Linked DNA regions of Schizosaccharomyces pombe. The gene in region 2 interacts genetically with the main gene of each other region. Each region holds a gene or a part of one and is shown on either strand. Other genes may lie near its edges.

Region 1 (9,923 bases), 940 kb from region 2:
TGCCAATAATATACAAGGTCCATTTCCAAACTATCCTGTCGTCGTCAATGGTAATGGCGTTAATCCTTACCTTTGTGATGTCCAAGCATTTCTCACTTCACAACTAGAGTATTATTTTTCGATTGAAAACTTGTGCAAAGATATGTTTCTTCGTAAACATATGGACGATGAAGGTTACGTTCCTTTAGCATTTTTGGCTTCCTTCAATCGAATTAAGAGCTTTTCTACAGATTTGAATCTTTTACATGCAGCTTGCAAGGCTTCAGATATTATTGATGTTGCTATTGATCTCCAGTCTCCTATGTCCATTAAGGTTAGAAGAAAGGAAACTTGGTCTCCTTGGATTTTACCTTCAGAGTCACGCTTGAAGTTTGAAATGGCCAAGTATCCTCAGATAAACTCTAGCTCCAGCATGTCCCCTCTTGCCAGTTCCATTTCAAATTTGACAATTTCTCCTCCATTCATTCCTTCTTCTGTGGATTCAATTATAAAAAGAGATGTTCAAACTGAGGTTGAGGATAAACTTACTGTTTAGAATTTTTGATATTTTTTTTATTTCTCGAGGCATCAATATTTTTCGTTCATTCTGGGTCTGTTCTTTTATTGACGCCTGTACTTTTTTTTATTTAAAAGGCAAGGATTGTTTATTGAAACTTGACTTCTATAGTTTGGTTTTGGTTACTGAAGCGTAATGGGTTTATTTCTTTCGGTTAAAAGAAAAAAAAAAAAAAAAAAAAAAAAAGAAAATATTGTACTTATTATAAGAGTATATGTCGTTTTCGATAAATGGGATTACTGGATTAAATGATTATCTAAAGTGATGTGTCATTTATGCTAAATTCTAATTTTTTTTTACTTAAAAAAAATCATTGTTTATGATTTGCATATAGTTTCTGTTATTATTTTCAACTGTGATACGCTGTAACTTCATGCTTCCTGATTATATCTTCCAAATCACTGGCTCCCTTTATTATTTTGTCATGGCAAAATTTTGTGAGTTTAATATGTTTTCTGTAAAGTAAATTTACCATTTGTACCTTGATGCTTCAACTCATAATGTACTCGTCTTTACTTTAAGCTATTCTATATTTAAAGGCCGCAGGGACATGAAATGAATAATAGAAGAGGATATTTCACGAAAAATCTTTAATTGATCGTTAAAAAAAAGGTCTCTGGTGTGTGTGGCAGTAGCATCTTCCTTCTGGCGTTGGATTACTACAAATACTGATTAGCTTACATGCAGAATATTAAGAGGTTGTTCAAGTTTTGAAAAAAACTTATTTAAAAGAAGGGCAATTTTTTAGAATAAAAAAGAAAGTTTACCAATAAGTTATCTAAAATTATAAAAGGATTATTTGTTTTACTAGAAGCTAATTTATTGAAATTAATTGAAAATCACTTTATTTATTCCTGTTGGGCATTCAGGTTTAATAGAATGTGACCCACACGATTAAAGTAATTTTTAAGTAGTTCTCTAAGTTGATCATCAAGGTTCTCCTTTGCAATCATAGAACAACAAGAAAAGTAAAGAGTGTGAATGTTTTCGGAAAATAATTCTAAAGGAAGATTCAGTATACTGTCCAGGATTGTAGCAATGACAGGCTGCCATGCAGCATGGTTACGCGTATGTTTCTCAACAACCAAGGAAGCATACATATCCAGCATTTCGGCACAAACCGGAAAAAGAAGTTTATGAATTTTCTGATCCGTTTCTGTTTTACCTAAAGGGTCTCTGGTTTTTAATAAGCGGAAGAGCAAAGTGATGTACAACAATGCACTAGCCGTTTCTTGTCTCAATAAATTAGGGAGTTGCTTCATAAATCCAACGTTCAAAAGCGTAATACGTAAAGATTTGTCTTCATTAAACTTGCGAGCAAACTGCCATGAGTCGTAAATAGCCACAGTTATTTTCAATACATGTTCATGGGGGATATGATTAAAAACTTCCTCGTTATCTAACAATTCAGCAACAATACTTATTAAAAGTAGTTGAAGAATACATTTTCGAATCATTGAACGGAACTCCATCTGTTTCTCAGGGGAAATTGAGGATGTCGAAATTGAACGAGAAGTTTCCGGTAGAGAACCGCCTCGCTTATGGCTCAATTGAGTATTTTCATTTTCGGAGTAAACAGGGGCTCCTTGCCCATTGGAAAATGTTTCTAGAAGAAGAAGCTGATGAGGGGTGGTTTCCTTGAATAACTCAATAAACATATCAGCGACCAGATTCCAATCTTTAACTTCAAACCTATACGCATTTCCAGAAAGTAGCTGCTGCATACAATTTGTTCCTATGCGAGAAAGTGTAATATTATCTCTACAAATGCAATTGCTAAATAACCATAGATAACCTTTTAGCAAATTGTGAAGTTTGTCAAAACGGCGTGTTAACAAAGTGACGAGACTTCGTAACGCTTCAACAAGAGTAGTAGATTGCCAAGTCCTGATCTCCTCATCCCTTAACATAACAGTCGCTTCATCCGCTTCTGGTCCAAATATTGAGAATATCGGGAATATAAATTTTCGTGAAACAACTTCCCAAGTTTCTTCAGTGAAATCATCAGACTCTTCTAAGAATATATAAAATAAGTTTTGAAGAGCTCTTGACCTTACTTCCAAGTCTTCAGCTGACATTATTATATCATAATATGCAAATAAAACTGGGAAAACATATTTAGAAAATGTCTCATTTACTGAAGGCTTGGAACTAAGTCCTTCCTTTATCATAGTTGAAAGACTTGAATAAACTTCTCTAATAATTTCCAAACTTTGTAAAGAGATTTTCTGGTTTGTTCCATTTTTGCATAATTCAGTGAAGGATATCAACATATCTATCAAACAATTTTGCTGCATTAAAGTATCATAATGCTCGGAAAAAAGATTGACAAGGGTATCAAAAGTCATAGAAATTAATATTTCGCTTCTAGCCTTAGCCGCAAATGTAAAAACGCCAAACAAAGTTTTCCATCCAGATTTTATTTTGGAAATTTTAGCTTGAATCATTTGCTTAACACATTGTAAAACAAGTTCTTTGACTTCTACTACGGTATCGGAAGCCATAACGTACTCAAATGGCTTAAGGAATTCTTTCTGAAAGGAAAAGAGAGACAACTCCTCAATTTCGAGAAAATGCATAGAAAGCTGCCTCAGGGAATCCAATGCAAAAACAGCAACATGCCTATTCTCATCACTACCCACCATGTTGAAGAATCTACCCAAAACGTTCCAAATTGATGACCATTCCACTCTAATCCTTTGCATGTTATAATAGGATATCTCAACCAGCTTTTGTAGACTATATAGCCTTGGCTGCTCCAAATCACTAGAAGATGTTATTTCATCCCAAGAAACTTCACATAATGCTTTAAAGAATGATACTATCGCAGAGCCAGAAAGAGAAGATGTTTGGGTAAATATTCTATCAATGCTCAACACTACCTCAGTGGACATTAGTTCTGAAACTGCCTCTGGGGATAAAGGTTTAGATAGTGAGCGAGTTCTAGTCGAACGAGAAGTACTTCCACTAACATGCCGAATTGAGTTTGAAGAACCAATGTTCACATTCTTTCGACGAACACGTGCATTTATAACATCAGGTACTTCTGTTTCATCGACACCAACACCAATCAGTTGCACGCGTTCTAGTTGACTTATAATAGTAAGGATATCTTTCCAAGAATCTTTCAAATTATTACCTTCGGTAGATGCAATTCTCAGTAATGTTTTTATAACCATAGTATTACGTAATTTGATTTCACTGGTAGAATGCAGATTAGTAAAATTAGTCAGAGTTTTTATAAAAGCGTCTCGAATAAGGTCAAGGTCAAAGAGACAAGCTATACGGACAACAAGCTGAAATCCATCAAGACACATATTAAGTTCATTAACATAATCAGAATTTTGTAAAGGGTTTGAAAGAGCAGCAAGTATAGGCATCCAAGTAGCCTCAAGCATGGGACCTATATGTTCAAAATGAGTAGCATTGTAATAAACATTTGTTTTTTGTGATCCATGTTTCTGTTGATACAATAGCTTTTTTAGCACACTTGTAGCCTTATTAGCCATTTCCTCCGAAGCTTGAATACAAGCTACTCTTTGCAGATCTCGTCCATTAGAAGTAAATGTGGTGAATCCACTAGATGTGCTGAAATTATTCATTAAAGGAGCAATCGCTGCGAGTTCTTGATCATCTTTCATAGCAATTTCATTTTTAAGAATGTCATCATATACAAAACCAAGATAGTCTTCATCTAAATCAGCACCGTCATTAATTCCACGATTATTTTTAATGAAGTCTTCTTTTGTCATTTTGTTTTTAATACGAGGAGAATGCAAATCAGTATTAAGCAATATTATAGAATAAGCAAGAATGTAGGCAGTATCAGCATTAGCGAATGCAGACGGATTCTCCTTCATATACCTTTCGGAAAATTTCAGCATAATTCGATCAATTTTTTGGGCTTCACCGGGTAGTCTGAAACACTGCAATAGACGACGTAAAGCGTCTACAAACTTTAAATTTATAAAAGATAAACAATCAATAAATTCATGCATCACGGAAATACTTTTCTCATCCCCTTCTCCTAAGTAATCTCCTAAAGTAGTTTTGTCAATACCATCAGCACGAAACAGAAATTCAGCGATAGCTTTAGGATCATTTATGTCAACATATTCATTTTCTGAAAGCATCTTAAGACCTCTAGTAGGTTTGTAATTGAACTTGTTTATACAAGTCCGTAATAGCTTCTTTCGTTGTTTGTTTGATTCAAATTGTGAAGGATCTGCAAGTGCGATAGAACTACTGCTATGGGAATTTGCTTCAAACGATTGTTTTCCGTTATAATAAGGATTCGTCACAGGAGTATCAGACCTGGAAAGCGCATCATAATCTCCAACAAAACCTTGCTCATCCGTTGACACACCTCGGCGAGATAAATAAAGACCACTTTCGGCCCAATTTGATAAAGATTGCAAAATGTCAAGGACGCATTGCAAAGTCTTTAGCTTCAATTGAAAATCGCTAAATGTGGTAAGTTGAACCACTTCGGACTTTAACGAAGCAGAGTTCGTATTTAGAAAAGGGGTACTACTCCGTTCAGAAGATTCTAAAGAAGGAAGAATTTCTTCAATATCTTCGGATATCGTTTCCGAAGGACCATTGGTAGTAACTTTTGAGATTGAAAACAGCAATTGTTCGAAAACGTTGGTAGTGGAAGAACGATCACAATCGTAATTTATATACAACTCTACAAGAGCTCTTGGATTAAGACAGATTCTCTGGATGATTAACAAGGTATGGAGCTTCTGATTGTAGGAGGTGTTCTTGAGGTCTAACATCGGAAAATAAACTTCTCGAAAAAACACTTCAATTTCCTGTTTGAAGTGGGCACGCAAAGAAAAAACCATAAGATAAAAAATGTCACAACAGACTTCAAACACCTGGGGAACAGGACTTACAGCATTGCGAGATAATACTAGGCAAATATATTGACGGGAGGCATGAACAAGGGTCATTCCTTTAAGTGCTGGGATACCACGAAATTGGAGAGTAGGATCCATGAATAAGTCACTATTTTTTTCTAAAATGCGATATATAAGATGGAGACTAATTAATTTCGCGCGCATAGCTTGAGATCTGATATTACTGACTTTATCAGGCGAGGTTTGTCTGACAGCAAGTCGACACATGGATCGGAACACTAAAAACGCGTCTTGGATAGAGGAATTCTCAACACTGGTGACAGCTGGGTCATCTGCGTCAACTTTAACATGATCTAATGATGAAGTGCCAGCAGATGCCATAGAATGAAGAGTAATTTTCTTGTCAGGCTCATCCTCATCGTGAACCCAATTTTCCGTCACCGATGCATCTTCTTCCGGTAAAGCAGATGTAGAGTTCGACTGAGTGTGGCTCGCGCGTAATCGTTCATAGACTACAGTGACAGCCTGAGTCAAAGAAGCTTGAGCAACTGACTGTATAGTATCACTATCCCCGAGAAGAAAGACATTAAAGAGTTTACGAACAGAATTCAATAATATCGCTCCATGAAGCATACTATCCTGCTCAGAACATAAGATAAAGGCAGATAAAGCTTTTACAACATTCAATTGCAGATTTCCATCAACAACTTCATCATTGATACTATCGCATACCATATCAACCATACACTGTAGAAGGGATTTAGGGGGCCCAAATGAGGCAGGTGTTTTATCTTTTGAAGAAAAATAGGCGAATGAAGCAAGTTTAGAAATAGTGTCTAAAGAAATGTTCATAACTTCATCTTGACTGGATTCAAAGCAGTACTGAAATAACTCTACTATCAAAAATTTGTCAAACTGACATTCGGTTTGTAGAAGAGGTTTTAGTTGCTCCATTAAATTCTTCATCTTCTCGTTCTTCATACAAACTTTTATTTGTATAAGCTGCTCGATGCACTTTATAAGCACTACATGAGTGGATTTTTCCAAATTGGTTAAACCTGATTTTTGCTTTTCCAAACTGGCCCTCGATGCAGCGTCAGGTACAGGCGTCGCGATAGTTTCATTGGATTTTTTGTCGTCTTTCAAGTCTTCTTCTTGATATTTCTGCTCGATTCCTTCGGGACTCTTTTCGTTTTCTTGTTTCGCTGGCGACAACGACGAATCTTCTGTATTTATATCAATACTTACCACAGCATCGCCTTCTAAACTTTCAGAAGCAACACGACCGAGATCCATACCATTTTCATCATCTTCGTTGTCAGAATCATTAATAATTTTAGTAACTGATGTTGTTCCAACTTCTGGAAGATCTTCGTGTCTGTCATGTTGCTCATTCACGGAGTTCATAGGCAGAGCAGGCATATTGATCACAGGTTCAGAGGCATCCTGCATTTTGGCATCGGTCACGTTCAAGCCAATTGCCGTCTAGACGAGCCAACTTTTAGCAATGAAATATAAGGCGGAGTATGTCTTTGCTAAGTGTTTTCGGCCTTAATGTGTCGAACGTTAGATCTCGGTTCAATGTGCTACTTATATAAAGCAAACGAGCGAGACTTATAATAAATTGTTTTATTACAGTATGGATTAAATAGTAAACATTATAACTAGATTTATACAATATTCGTTGTTTTACTGAAACTTTTATTGTCGATATTGACCGTGAACGTTTTCTTATTTCTTTTTTACAGGACAGCATTCCTTAAACTGTAAAAGGATTAAGGAATTAAACAAAATGTACGATTTCTACCATTTTAAACATGTTCTAAAAAAAAGAAACAAACAAAGTTAAGTATTAATATTAGGCTACATTTTTTCGTCCCCTTAAAAATCCCAAAAAAAAATATCATAAAGTTTAAGAAAAGGATATCAGTCCAAGGTTTCAAATTGACCATTTAAAAATTCGACAAACATTTCCTTGAGAACATTGGTATTATATGATTGTTGCCGGTTAATTTGGATAAATTGACGGCGCAATCTTTGAAGTAAAGGAAGAGATACTGTAACACTGGGTAATGCGATTTGAAGTTTGCTCCCTGGTACAGTAATCAAGGAGGTATCGTTGGAATTATCCAGTATAAGCATGATTACGTCTTGAGTAGTTTTATCTAATTCATATAAATAGTTGACTTCAGCTGGAGGTTTTACCATTGTAGCTTGGTTAGGCTTGACATTTTTGTTATGAATAAGAACTGACCAGATGTCATCGATAGGACAAGAAGCATCATCGTGCAAGACAGTAAATAAAGGGGAATCCCATCGTGTCATTCCATTCGGTTCTTCATAACGAAACATTAATTGCTCAAGAACATCGTCAGGATACGGCTGTTCCTTGTTACTATTGAATTTTCGACATAAATCTTGAGGAACAGCAACATGAATCACACAATGAGTTGTGTACATAGACTTTGATTCACAATATAACTGGTATCGAAATCCTTTTATGTAATTCAAGGCATCGCAAATTACGAATGTAGATTTTGAAAGTTCACGCTGAACAGCAGAATAGAGAAGGCCACGAGCGGCCTTTTCGTTCTTGGACTCTAAGACAAATTAGTTACCAGAATTACGAAAAATTGCATATACGGATTCTCCCATCATCTAGAGTAGCTGGGCACAATCTGAAGCCAAAAATGAATTGGCTAATTTCCAAAAACTAAATCATTAAAGATAACTATTTAAACATACCTCGATATGTTTCTTTTTCAATGTTTAAACTCTCATCGTTTATTATTATCACCCGATAATCCTTTGTATTGTCGATATTTTGATGAATTCGATCTTCTAAAGCCTTTTTAAGTTCATTTGACCTCGTTGTTTTCCCTGAAGATGGATAACCTGAAACAATTATTAATGGCATTTTCTTTATGTTCTACAAAATAGAAGGTTGAATAAAATCAGCCGTAAAACATATGTTTGAAAACTTCCAGCTTTTTTTTGATATATTTTTTCATGAATTTAACGAAAATTACTAGTTCGTTAAACATTAGTAAACAGTTAATTTTTATCCTTAATTTGTATTTCGTAATGCGCTCAATTTCGGTACTGACTTATTACTTACGACTAGTAAGTATTGCTTAGGCTTAAAAACACAGTAATTTCAATTTGCGGTCTCTTTAATTTAATCTTGCTTCCCTTTACCTTATCAATTGTTCTAAAAGAATTAAGGATTAACACTAGTAAGACCCCGGATTTTAATCGCTAAAAAAACATGCACGCCTTCTACGCAATCAGGGTTGTTCAATTTAAAAATAGTAATCATTTGTTGAAAGATTTTAAAGGTGCATAGGACATCAAGAAATATAAGCTAAATGCAGTTGATTAAAAGTTAGAAAAGTATCTACTTATGCCGCCATTAACATGTATCTGGTAAAATGCGACTAACTTATAACACATGTTGTATACCAGTCCAATGATTAATTTAGTACCCTGGAAAACGTCTTGAATATTGGGTAAAGAAAAATCAGAACTTAAAGAAACCTAGGCTGAAATATTTTTTTTTTAAATAACTATTCAGTTTGCCAGAGAGTGTAACAAAATTAAAGAAAGAGAAATATAATTGCATTCATCATAGGACTGCCAGTTTCATAGCAAATAAGCAGACCTAATATTAAAAAAGCAATTTTATCGGCTCAATTTTAGTCAAGCGTACAGCTGGCAAATAAATTGTTAGCAATTTAAACCAATTTATGTATCCGAAGATCATAAACAACTGCATATGTCAGAAATAAACTATCAAAAAAAAAAAAAATCCACGTAAATTTCATACCGTCCTCAGATCTTTTCAAATCATATTTTAATCCATCGAAATGTCTTCTTAAGGAGTCGTTTTTCAAAGAGAGTACTTGAAAAGAAGAATGAACTTTTTGAATAGTATTTAGGGCCTCAAATGGAATATGATAGTTTCCAGATATTACTGAGTTTACAGATTGACGAGCCTAGAAATTGTGTCAATTTGGATTGTTGAATAGAATATATACCAGTTCAGAACACAGAGATAGTACTGCGTGCAAATATTGCTCAATTGAAAGATGAAAAGTGGACTCTTCTGGAAAAACCGGGACTGAAGATTGTGAGAAAAATGTAAAATAATTTACGCACCTTGCAAAATTTGACCAACTTCGGAAAGCGATAGAAGGCTGTACGTGGGTCTTAAACTTTTATCTAAACGACCGGTCCAGGAAGCTAGCAAATATAAATAAACAACTTTCTGAATTGATCGATCCCAGACTCCGTTATATTTATAGTATGGAAAATTCGATGCCAATTCTGCTAATCCTCTGGTTTTGCTTTTAATGATCTCAAGAGCTTCTAAAATTTCTTCCTGATTTTCTAAATCTTCCAAAGTTAGTCCATGTTCTTTTTCTTGTAAATTTTCATTTCTACTTTGTTCACAGTTTGCCAAGAGAAGTTGCAAAACTCTTAACTTTTCGTCTAACAAATCG
Region 2 (5,095 bases):
CTTTTTTTTGAAATTTTTATTGCTTTATGTTGATTGCTATGTCCAGCATGTTTGGTCTTTTTTTTTAATGTCAATTTGCTAACATTATTCAATTAGGTTTTTTTACCCAGCGGTGAAACTTACGATCAAGAGCATCTTGATGACAACCGTGTCTTAGGTTACAACCCTTTGGTTCCTGCCGCTTTGGTTCAACAAGAGATTCCTGTTTCTGAAACTTCTCGCAAAGTCATCACTGACTCCAGAAAGGAGATTCAAGCTATTCTCAACAAACAAGATGACAGAATTATCGTTGTTGTCGGTCCTTGCTCCATTCATGACCCTAAATTGGCCATGGACTATGCTAAGTTGCTGAAGCCCAAAGCTGACGAGCTTCAGGATGCTTTGTGCGTTGTCATGCGTTGTTATTTGGAGAAGCCCCGTACTACTATCGGATGGAAGGGTTTGGTCAACGACCCTAACTTGGATGGTTCTTTTGCTATCAACAAGGGTATTAGGATGGCTCGTCAAATGTATTGCGACGTTACCAATTTTGGCATTCCTTTGGCCAGTGAGATGTTGGACAACATTTCTCCCCAATTCTTCGCCGACTTACTCAGTTTTGGTGCTATCGGTGCTCGTACTACCGAGTCTCAATTACATCGTGAATTGGCTTCTGCCCTTTCCTTCCCTGTTGGTTTCAAGAATGGTACTGATGGTACTGTTGGTGTGGCGATTGATGCCATTGGTGCTACCGCCCATCCTCACACAATGCTAGGAGTTACTAAACAAGGTCTCGCCGCTATTACCATGACCAGGGGCAACAAGGATACCTTCATCATTTTGCGTGGTGGTAAGAAGGGTCCTAACTATGATGCTGAGCACGTTGCCGCCGTTCGCAAAGATCTTGAGAAGGCCAACCTTCCTCCTCGTATCATGATCGATTGCTCTCATGGCAACTCAAGCAAGAATCATTTGAACCAACCAAAGGTCTCCAAGAGCATCGCCGAACAAATCAGAAATGGCGACTCTTCCATTGTTGGTGTTATGATTGAATCTCATATCAATGAAGGTCGTCAAGATGCTCCAATCCGTCCTGGCGTTAAGGATACTCTCAAGTACGGTGTCAGTATCACTGATGCTTGTGTTAGCTGGGAACAAACTGCTCCAATGCTAGACGATCTTGCTGAAGCTGTCCGTGCTCGCCGTCAAAACCAAAAAAGTAATTAAGACATATAAATGTTATATTCAGCAGTTTTAATTTTTTTAATTTTTGAAACTTATTTTTTCGTAACATACAACAACTGAACAATTTTGGCTTAAATACGGGTTCTATTTATTTTTTTTTGTTTTTTTTTTCTTATATCGTACACAGCTTCTACCAATAACACCTTCGTTTTTAAGAATTGCTGTGCAAGTTTTGCGAAATGTTTGATCGTTTCATATGTTTCTAATCGATCTCCTTTAGCTTGTAATCAGCCATAGGCACATTGGACACAAAATTTAAAACGTCTATGAGTACAGTTGTACAAAGATCAAGTTTATTAGTAAACAATAAAAGAATGCAACATCTATTTAAATAACCTAAATCACAACAAACTATAGCCAGAGATTAATCATAATAAACGAAGTAAAACCGTACAAAAGCAAACCAGAATCCAAAACAAATACATTCCATAAGTTGCTATTTAATTTTTGCGTTCAGCAGTTACACTGACCCATCGATTCGTGGAATCACTATTGGGCTCCTTTTTCATTTCTTCTGCTGCATTTAAGGCCAAATACTTTCTTTGTGCTAGTACCAAATCGCGTAAAAGCTGAGGACTTGGTTTTTTGGCATGCATAAAATTACAAAGGCCACCCCGCTGACATTCCGAAGTTTCGTGTTGCCGGCAACATGCCTCGCGAAAATCAGTTACAGGAGATAACTCGGCGTAGACTGGTCTTTGGGAATACCATCGGGAATTTAAATCATCAATAGCATTTTGGGCAGACTCTTCATACTTGAATCTTACATAAACATTTCCGACTAAGTGATCTCCAACATTGTCACAGACGACTAATTGTTCAACTTCACCGTATTTTGAAAACTCACAAAACATGTCCTCGTAGAATGCATCAAATTGTTCTGCAAGTTCACGCTGCGTGAACTTTTTGCCATTTGGTTCATGAATTGGGTTTTTATACATGTTGGGACATAAGATCGTTTGACTAAAATTTGGTTTGACATGTTTACGAGAGCAGCGTTCCCCATGTCTACAAGCTCCTATTTTATAATAGAATGAGCAATTGACTTTATCTTGCTCAGTACCATAAATACTTGCCAAATGACTTGCCATTTTTATATGGTGGTTATGAAATAAAGTGATCCAACATGATTCTAGTCTTATAATGGTGGCGTGCAACATCTCGTTAAGTTACGCAAATTTTCTAAATTATTCTTGCACACTATTGTCAGCAGTACTACACTACGCTATGATACACTACGTTGCGTATCACTATATGTCACATGTTCTAATTATATATCGTACCATGTATGATACGATATGGAGATTGATCTTAATGATAATCTATTAAGATCTATATTATCTGAATACTATAAATAGAGCTACTGCTGAACCTCGTTCCTCAGTTCAGTTATGAGCTATATTAGTGATAGGTAACATTATAACCCAGTTAATACAATACCTATACTCAGTTGCTACTTATATAACCTGTGTATTGTAATATAATAGATCACAAGGAAAACTCACCACAGTTCTACGTATCCTTAAATCAGATACCAAACTGCGTAGCTTACAACTATCCGATATACAGATATTCCCTTGTATTTCCCTAATTATATTCGAATTTGGAAAATATCAAGAATAAGTAGTTACTGTTATTAGACTGATGTGCCAACGATTCAAAAGAAAAAAAGATAAATTATTCTTAACACAGCACATTCCTTTTTTTTGCTCAGGAAATTTACTCGAGAACAAATTGTTTCCAAATGTCACGATGCCTGAGATGTACGCAAATGAACAACATCGGTAGTTTTACAATATTTAAAACAATCTATAGAGAATTTCTTTAAAAAGGACGGAAAATTTTTTCGAATGCAAAATTAATATGGAGTTGAGTATAATACGTAAGTTAGGGATTCAGTCATGCAGAGATAGTACTGTTCCAAACGCAATTAAGCTATTCCATTTTTCTGAAACGAATAAAACGCGGCTTAAGGTGTTAATGTAGCTTTCTTTTACGAGAGGGAAAGCATTCTCTAATTCAATTTTCACAAGTGAGGTTCGATTTCTTTCAAGATCGTTTCCGATTGCGTTAGGAGCTTTTTCTTGACTGTCTGTAAAGCAATACAGTTTGGTAAGGACTGCGTGACAGCCGAATAGGGCTATTACATGCATCGACTTTCCTTTTTCAAGAGAACCGTGAAACCAAGTTGCATTAACGTAAGCAGTTTTCGAAGAAGTAAAGGCATCGATACTATCAGCAATTAAAATCCCAGGACTATTTATTAGAAATACAAGAATTGCAAAGAACTTACCATAAATTGGGTAATGTAGGGATTTTGGCTTGAATCATATCCCCAGCAACATTAAACCCTTTGGGATTTTCATCACTGCTCAGTCCTTTTTTGATTAACATAAAATAATTGAACACCTTCCGTACCTGTGATTTGTGTTTCTAATCTCCCTGTGCCTACATAAAGCTTTTGCGAATCCTGAAGCATGCCTGAATGGATGCTACAGTAAATATGTGATTGATTTTCTGGCAAAGGAGTAATGTGTGAAATTGTTAAAGAGAGAGGTAGATTAAGAAGAAAATTCCATGTGCCATGATTTGTATCTGCTTCTTTATCAATTTTGCCAAGCAATGTATCAGATTTATACCACTGGGATAATTTTTCTTGACTAATGGATGTAAGATTGGTTCCTTTTAGTCCGCTTATCGGAATGAATTTTGATTTCTCAATTATTCCGCAACTTTCTTTCAGAAAGCTCTGAATCGAGTTAACAAGATTAATGAATTTATTTTCATCCCACTCAATTTCATCCATCTTAGTGATAGCAAACATATAGCTTGAAATAGATAAGCCATTCATCAATTGTAAAATGGAAGATATTCCATCAAGACCTTCCAAAGGATTCAGACAATCAATGGTGAAAATGGCTGTGTTCATTACTTGAAACAAACTTGAATGTTTTAGAAAATTATCTCGAGAACTTGCATTAGTAGTGAAGATTCCTAAAGGAAAATCAATAATAGTTGAGGAGTAACTGTTGGAAAATGTTTCAAAATCATACCATTTCGTTTTGGTGGACTTTAGCACTGAGCTCAAACTTTCTTTTTTGGCATTCAGTACTGTACATTTTTGCATGGTTTTGGGATCAAATGATCCAATTTGAAAAAATAATCTAGAAAGGAGTGTTTTTTTACCAGACTTGGGCGGGCCCAACAACAAGAGTTTCGTTCGAGGCTTTACTAATTTGGAAAGTTCAATTAACTGATCTTGGGAAAGTAAGGTGTGATCATTATTTGAATCATTAGTATTTTTTTGAGGTTTCAATTGTTGAGAAACTTTCTTCATTGACTTTACAGAGTTTAGCAATTGCTCGTCCAAACGTTTGTGTTTTTGGAAACCTGTTTAACAATTAGCGCGAAAAAAAAAGGAAAAGATGAATTGAAGGAGACAAAGCATACTTTTAGATTTAGATTGAGCCATCAAAACTATGTCGTCAGGGCTAGGGGCGTTAAATCCTAAAAGTGAACTTTTGCTTAGATGAATCTCAATTTGGTCCTCAAAAACGCGCTTCTTTGCGCCTGTAAGACATTTCGCAAATGAGGAAGGAGGAGCTAATTTTACCTCTTGGGGGTTCTTCTTCAGTTGGTCGCTTTCCACCATTTGTTTTTGGAGTGTGGTTTTATCATCATCGTCAGTAAGATGAATTTCATGAGACGATGGTTGTTCAGAGTCTTTCTTCTCTGCAATGCGAACCTTTCGAAACCTTTGCAACAAAAAATCATTTTCAACGTTTTTCTTATGTTTAGCTTGAATAGGCTCTTTTTCCTTTTCCTTTTCGGTTTTAGGCGGCTGCTGTTGAGTGGATGGAAAAGAAGAATG
Region 3 (5,866 bases), on a different chromosome or scaffold from region 2:
TGCAATACAATTGAATCCACATTTCTCAATTTACTTGTAACCTATTTGAGAGTAATGATAATGTTAAGCAACACAATATTGTTTATTAAAATTAATATTATAGTAATTCATTACCTTAGTAATGGAATTACAGAGACCATTGCACTTTTGCGCATCATTAAAAAAATTTATAAAGGGACGCATGGATAACTATGGGTTTTGCACCCCGTTTCGCTAAGGCAACTCTTAATATAGCCGTTATCTCAGTATTAGAGCGCTCGGTATAAGGTGAGTAAATAAATAAAGGAAGTGAAATGCAATGTTTGCGAGGTGGAAAAACTGAGCTATTATGGAATTCCTATCTTTGCTTAGTTTTATATTAGTCGGAAACAATGGTAAAGCTCTGCAATCGATTTATGCAAGCATGGTGAATGGGCCTTATGCATGTGTGCGATCAATTTTATCAACGCTAAACAAGCAGTAGATGTAGCCTCAATACTATATATAACCCGTACTTGTCTAAGGATATGGATAATTGTATGCAAATATACATGCAAACACGCATCATCAAGGATTGAAGAGGCCAGCTATGTTTGAAAGATCATGATTCATTGAGTTGGAAGTAAACGACAAATAAAAAATCGAAAAAAAGTATAATTGCAAGTACAAAGACAATTTAATATAATAAAACCAAATCTCCTTGATTAAAAAAAAGTGTTTTGGAAGTTAAAGGGAACGCCAATGTAAGTAAATAAATATCGCGGGTAATTTCCTCTTTGTTCTTCGAGACACAATAAATTAAATGAAAATACGAGAATCAAACACAGTAAGACATATCGTTGGCTAATCACATTCCCAATGCTTTCTTATTGCACTGCATTTACGGAATTCTCATTTGAATGGATTGAGTCGGATTGAAAATCAGCGCCACCGTCACACCATTCATATGAACCACTTTTTTTATTTTGATAAAAGGGTGTTCATTTCTTCACTTTCTTCTATTTCTTCGTTTCCTTCGTTCTCCTCTTCGAGCGATGGATAACTGGGAGGAGGTACCTCTTCGGCATAAGGATAATAACCACCGGCATTGAGCGCCATTTCATCTTCTCCCGGTTCCTCAATTTGTCTTTCATCTACAAGTTGAAAACACGGCCACACAAGGAACAGGAACATCACAAGGAATCCAGCCGCCAACACAGTATTCATTCCCAACACCCATCCCGGCACACCAAAACTATAAACGATGGAGCCAACCGCAAACTCCATGAAGCATGGGATTAGCATGTAAAGAGCTCGTTTTGAAAGAATTCCTTGTATATGACAATTCTTTTCAAATGCTTCGAAGTAAGAGTAACGTCGTCGAATTTGCTCGCGAGGGACGGCATGGATGAATACATTATCCACAGTCATCGTAGGAAAAGTGAATTTACAGGAAGGAATTAGGAATAAGTACGTTTCAAAAAGTCAAAGTAAAGTTTTCAGGTATTTTTTATTACAACAACGTCATTCCGATGTGGTTTTCACTATACCCGCTGCTACACTGAGTAAAGAGGGAGGATACTGCGGTTAGCCCAAATGTGGAAAATGTCCTTGAACCCTACCTACCCGAAGCAAGAAATCCGGTGTTGGAAAGCGCTGAAGGAGCGACATTCACAGTTTGATTTTCTTTTCTTTTTTTCTATTCTTGGACATCTGTTTTGATTCTTTTCTTTCTGCTGAACAGTTTCACGATGGCAGCAAATATCTCGAAACTTGAAGCAATTATTGATAATACACCGAATTCTTCCCCAGACCCAGAAGTTTCTCACAAGTTATGGGTGTCCTCTTTAAACAAATTTCAATACACACTTCCTCTTTTGATTAGTAACTTTGCTGGGCTCGGAATTGCGTTCATTTACTGCCTGATCGCTTTCATTCGAGAAATGTCGCATCCTTCATCCAGGAAAGACACAATGGAGCACGGGTTGCCCATAATTTTGTGCTCTACGTTGATGCTTGTTGGAAACATCCTTTACTATTTCTTGTCGAAACATCCGCTTAAAGTCACCGTTCCAGAGGATTTGGTGCAAATTCCTATGCAACAAATGTCCAGTCCCGCTCAAGAAGCACCTTAATTGGCCGTATATTTTGTTTCAATTATGTTTTTGAAGTGCTTGTCTAATATAATAAGGAGAATGCCATAATCGGTGACATTGTGAGCCGAGTTTTTGAGGCAGACATGTAGAATAGATGATAATTTGTATTTTATTAATTAATCTGTGAATGATATATTAAATGAATTGAAGTTCAAAATGAAATATGAAGAGGTGTCGAAAATATAGGAATAGTACAAACCAGTATATCGAACAGTGCTCTAAATTTTGGAAGATGAGTTCGTTCAGGGTCGATGTATTCAACACACTTCCATTTCGCATTACGAGACAAGTTTATGAAACGAATACGTTTTAGATAAAAATAGTATTGAATTATTAAGTTAATTTTTAGATTAGTAGTGACTTAAATGTTGAATAAATATTAAAGGAGTAATAAGATTAAAGGCAGCGGAATGGAAACGAAATATTTTATAACAAAGTGAAACAGGCGTAAAGGAATAGGTGCCCAAAAGCGATATATGAAGGTGTTATTAATACCTCTGATATGGAGAAGAGTTGAATGTATCTTCTCTTGCTTTAAGATTCTCTTGAAAGTCCTCAACTTCACCTCGTCGAATTTCAACTGTCAGTTTACGAGAACCTATAAAGAGCATCGCAAGTACTATGAGTATGAGTAAAGCATTTACGACAGCATCGATCATAGCAATTACTTGAATAGCTGATGGAAAACCTTTAAAGATGAAAGTAAACACAAGAATGAAAAGACGGCAAGACACGATGAAGGAGATAAAAGACATAAACAAAAAGTCATAATTATCAGCTCGTTCCTTACCGGCTTCATACGTTTTCTTTTCAATTAGTTTTTTGTATGTGGCACCTTTAAGTAACGACTGGAGTTCCCATAGTTGAATGGATTTCTTTGGATTCATATTTTTGTGGGAGGCAAAACAGCTAGTTTGAACAAATCCGTTTAAAAACAAGAAAAATTGCGAAAAAATATTAATATGAAATAAAATGCTTAAAAGTCAAAGGATTTCGACAATCGTTGTTAATGAGTAATTGGAGCGCAAGACCAGAGGTTTAACGATTTTGATATTCAACCAATATATTCAATTTCTCTGCCTACACAATCCCGACCTAAATATTCTGTATTATTTGATAAATATTTATTCTTCTTATGCAAAAGCATTTTCATTTTCTGGCCAATATCTGCTAAATTTTGTGTTATATTTATCAACATGACACAACCTGACATTGAAATAGTTATCAAGGAGGATTTTACCTATAGGGAGTGTTCAGATGTTGCGAACGATGTGTTTAAAAAAACTCAATGGCTCTTGTACGTTTTCCTTTTCATAATTTTTGCCAATTGTGTTGTTGATGTTAAGTATTATTTTGAGGGATTTAGTCATTCATTATTATTCGTCTATTTTTTCTTGACTTTAATAATTCTTCTTGTAAGTTTTATGGGATTTCATTATTTGAATAGTATTCCTAAGCCGGAAGCTGAACCTGACTATCGAAAGAAGCAAGAGTCAAAGAATCAGGATTTCCTTAAAAGTCAATCTAATGAACCTTTAGAGTACGCCTCATCCTCTGCAGTTGAACTAGAAAAAGAAAAAAATACGCGAGAGGGCTTAACAATTCTTGAATCTAGTTAATTTTGTATCCATTTGGCATTTGCATCGACCTTGTTTTTGTTTTGTGTTATGTTTATAGGTTTATTATTTATATTCTTCCTTGGTGTGACAATTTTTTTTCTTTAAAACAAAAGAAATTAAAGAATTTGTATTTTATTTATTTTTCCATTTTGAACTACCATATTGAATGTATTCTCAAATTATTAGTATACAGGTGTAATGTCACTCATTTGAATGTAATCAGAAGAAAAGTTATTCTCTTGTTCAAGATCCCTTTGAAACTCCTCAACTTCTCCTCGTCGAATCTCAATTTGAGCTTTCGAGAATTATAGAATAGCAAGCTAACAACTGAGAATGAAATCTACTGTTAAATCTGACACATCTACTTTCACGGTTTTAAGAGACTTAAAGCCATCAGACATAATTGCTATCATAATGAGTAAGCGGAAATCCACGTAGCATAGTCCAGGAAGAAATCCAAACCATAAATAGTTTTCGTGATGTCCCTTTGAAATTTCATCTGATTTTTTCTCAATCAGTTTTTCGTACGCAGTACCTCAATGCAGCGACTGGAATTCGTACAGTTTAATGGATTCACTTGGACTCATCATATATGATACAAGCAAAATAGCCACGTCAACAAAGTTCTTCTAATGTCTGAAAATCAATTCAGTTATCAGATTGAAATATTGCTATCAATTCAAGTCGAATAATAGGAAAATCTTTCTCTGTGGTTGATGATTTAAATATTTAAACCAGACCAGGGGTTTCACAATTTAGTTAAGAGTTACATTTACGGACTTTTCTTTCCACAAACCTCACTTTTTACTGTTTTATTTTTTGAATTTTGCTGGACATTTTTTTAAATAGCTTCCATTTCTTGCTAAACTTGTTTAAGTATTCATTTGTATTCGTTTTAATTGATAGAGGCATTGAACGTTGAGTCGAAATGAAGGAGTTAATCTATAAACCGCGTTCACAATTTTTGCCAATATTTTTACTTGGTCTTTGAACGTTCTATTTTTCTTGTTTCTTGTGACACGTGCCGTTCACATTGCATTTTAACTAAGAAACATGGCCACAGTATGGCCGTTCTAAAGATGATGCTCCTAAGATTGATCAAAAGTAAAGAACATTGTTATACTATGGTTATCTCTTTTGCAGTGTTATCCATCCACTATGCTTGTGAATGCTTTTTGTATCCTAAATTGTTTGATTCTCAGCGCTCTCCTTCACCTTTTTTACGTTGGTTGTTTTCAGTTCTAGGTGTTTTAATGTCTATGGATGTGTTTTGTATTTTATACGCCTATCCAAGTGTTTATTTACACTATGTAAGCGAAGAACCTAAAAAAAAATTAGAGAATCCAGTCTCAGCAATTAAAATCGAAATGAAATTTCATGAAGTCATACTTTCTTCCTATAAATGGATGTAAATAATTTTTCGTAAAGGAAGTATATTCATCGTAAATCTTAATTTTCTATTTCGCTTGTCATTCGATGTCGATTTTGTTTTCCCTACGAGTCAAATGTCAATCTCAACTAGATGGTTTAAGAATTAAACACCCTCTAATTCCTCCCTTCCTTTTCTTGATGTTGAAATTTCTTTCTCATTACTACAATTCATAAACTCCTATCAACTAGAGAGAATTGCGGTTGATAAGTTTTTCAAAGGTTAGCAAAACGGTATATGCATAAAGTCCCATATACAATTCAAATATAAAAAATTAATTGTTCTTTTCATCGTTGATTTCGTTCCAAATTTGCTCGATAGTCTTCCACTTCACCTCGTCGAATCTCAACGTTGAGCTTGCGAGAACTGAAGTAAAGTATGACTATAATACACACTAAAGCTATGCTGTTTATGATAGCATCGGCTACAGCAGGCAGTTCACAGTACGTATTTTTGTTGAAGAGACTTATAAAGAATATGATCATTCGACTTATAACAAAAGAGAAAATAAATAAAGTAATAATAATTGGTAAAATACCATCATTACTCCGATATTTAATAGCTTCATATGTTTTTTTATTAATTAACTCTTCATATGCTTCGTCCTGAAGCAGCGACTGGAATTCTTGCAACTCGATGGATTCCTTTGGGCTCATATCTTTCGTCTAACAAAACGCAGTTAATTGAACACTTTTAAATCACGA

The links.
Region 1: mutations in uaf2 (region 2) and sec72 together harm fitness more than expected from each alone (negative genetic interaction), as found in Schizosaccharomyces pombe (one large-scale study listed by BioGRID).
Region 3: mutations in uaf2 (region 2) and SPOM_SPCC622.03C together harm fitness more than expected from each alone (negative genetic interaction), as found in Schizosaccharomyces pombe (one large-scale study listed by BioGRID).

Annotation. Positions count from the first base shown.
Region 1 is NC_003424.3:4,385,552-4,395,474, forward strand, and holds sec72 (Sec7 domain-containing protein sec72), read right to left. Parts: upstream 6,943-9,923; 5' UTR 6,874-6,942; coding exon 1,405-6,873; 3' UTR 1,291-1,404; downstream 1-1,290. Other genes in the region: slr1 (RNA-binding protein), read left to right, coding at 1-535; kti12 (elongator complex-associated protein Kti2), read right to left, coding at 7,348-8,021, 8,167-8,338; tsn1 (translin), read right to left, coding at 9,156-9,190, 9,248-9,416, 9,459-9,541, 9,580-9,816, 9,865-9,923. UniProt on the Schizosaccharomyces pombe protein: Guanine exchange factor that acts as an activator of arf1 at the trans-Golgi net-work and is thus involved in vesicular budding and traffic between compartments of the Golgi apparatus.
Region 2 is NC_003424.3:5,322,831-5,327,925, reverse strand, and holds uaf2 (U2 auxiliary factor small subunit Uaf2), read right to left. Parts: upstream 2,333-5,095; 5' UTR 2,316-2,332; coding exon 1,665-2,315; 3' UTR 1,491-1,664; downstream 1-1,490. Other genes in the region: SPOM_SPAP8A3.07C (phospho-2-dehydro-3-deoxyheptonate aldolase), read left to right, coding at 97-1,206; ski7 (ski complex-interacting GTPase), read right to left, coding at 3,120-3,480, 3,518-3,602, 3,643-4,614, 4,675-5,095.
Region 3 is NC_003421.2:1,403,367-1,409,232, forward strand, and holds SPOM_SPCC622.03C (uncharacterized protein), read right to left. Parts: upstream 3,002-5,866; coding exon 2,603-3,001; 3' UTR 2,094-2,602; coding exon of another isoform or gene 1,710-2,093; 3' UTR 1,501-1,709; downstream 1-1,500. Other genes in the region: SPOM_SPCC622.01C (uncharacterized protein), read right to left, coding at 940-1,389; SPOM_SPCC622.02 (uncharacterized protein), read left to right, coding at 1,710-2,093; SPOM_SPCC622.04 (uncharacterized protein), read left to right, coding at 3,311-3,733; SPOM_SPCC622.06C (uncharacterized protein), read right to left, coding at 5,450-5,818.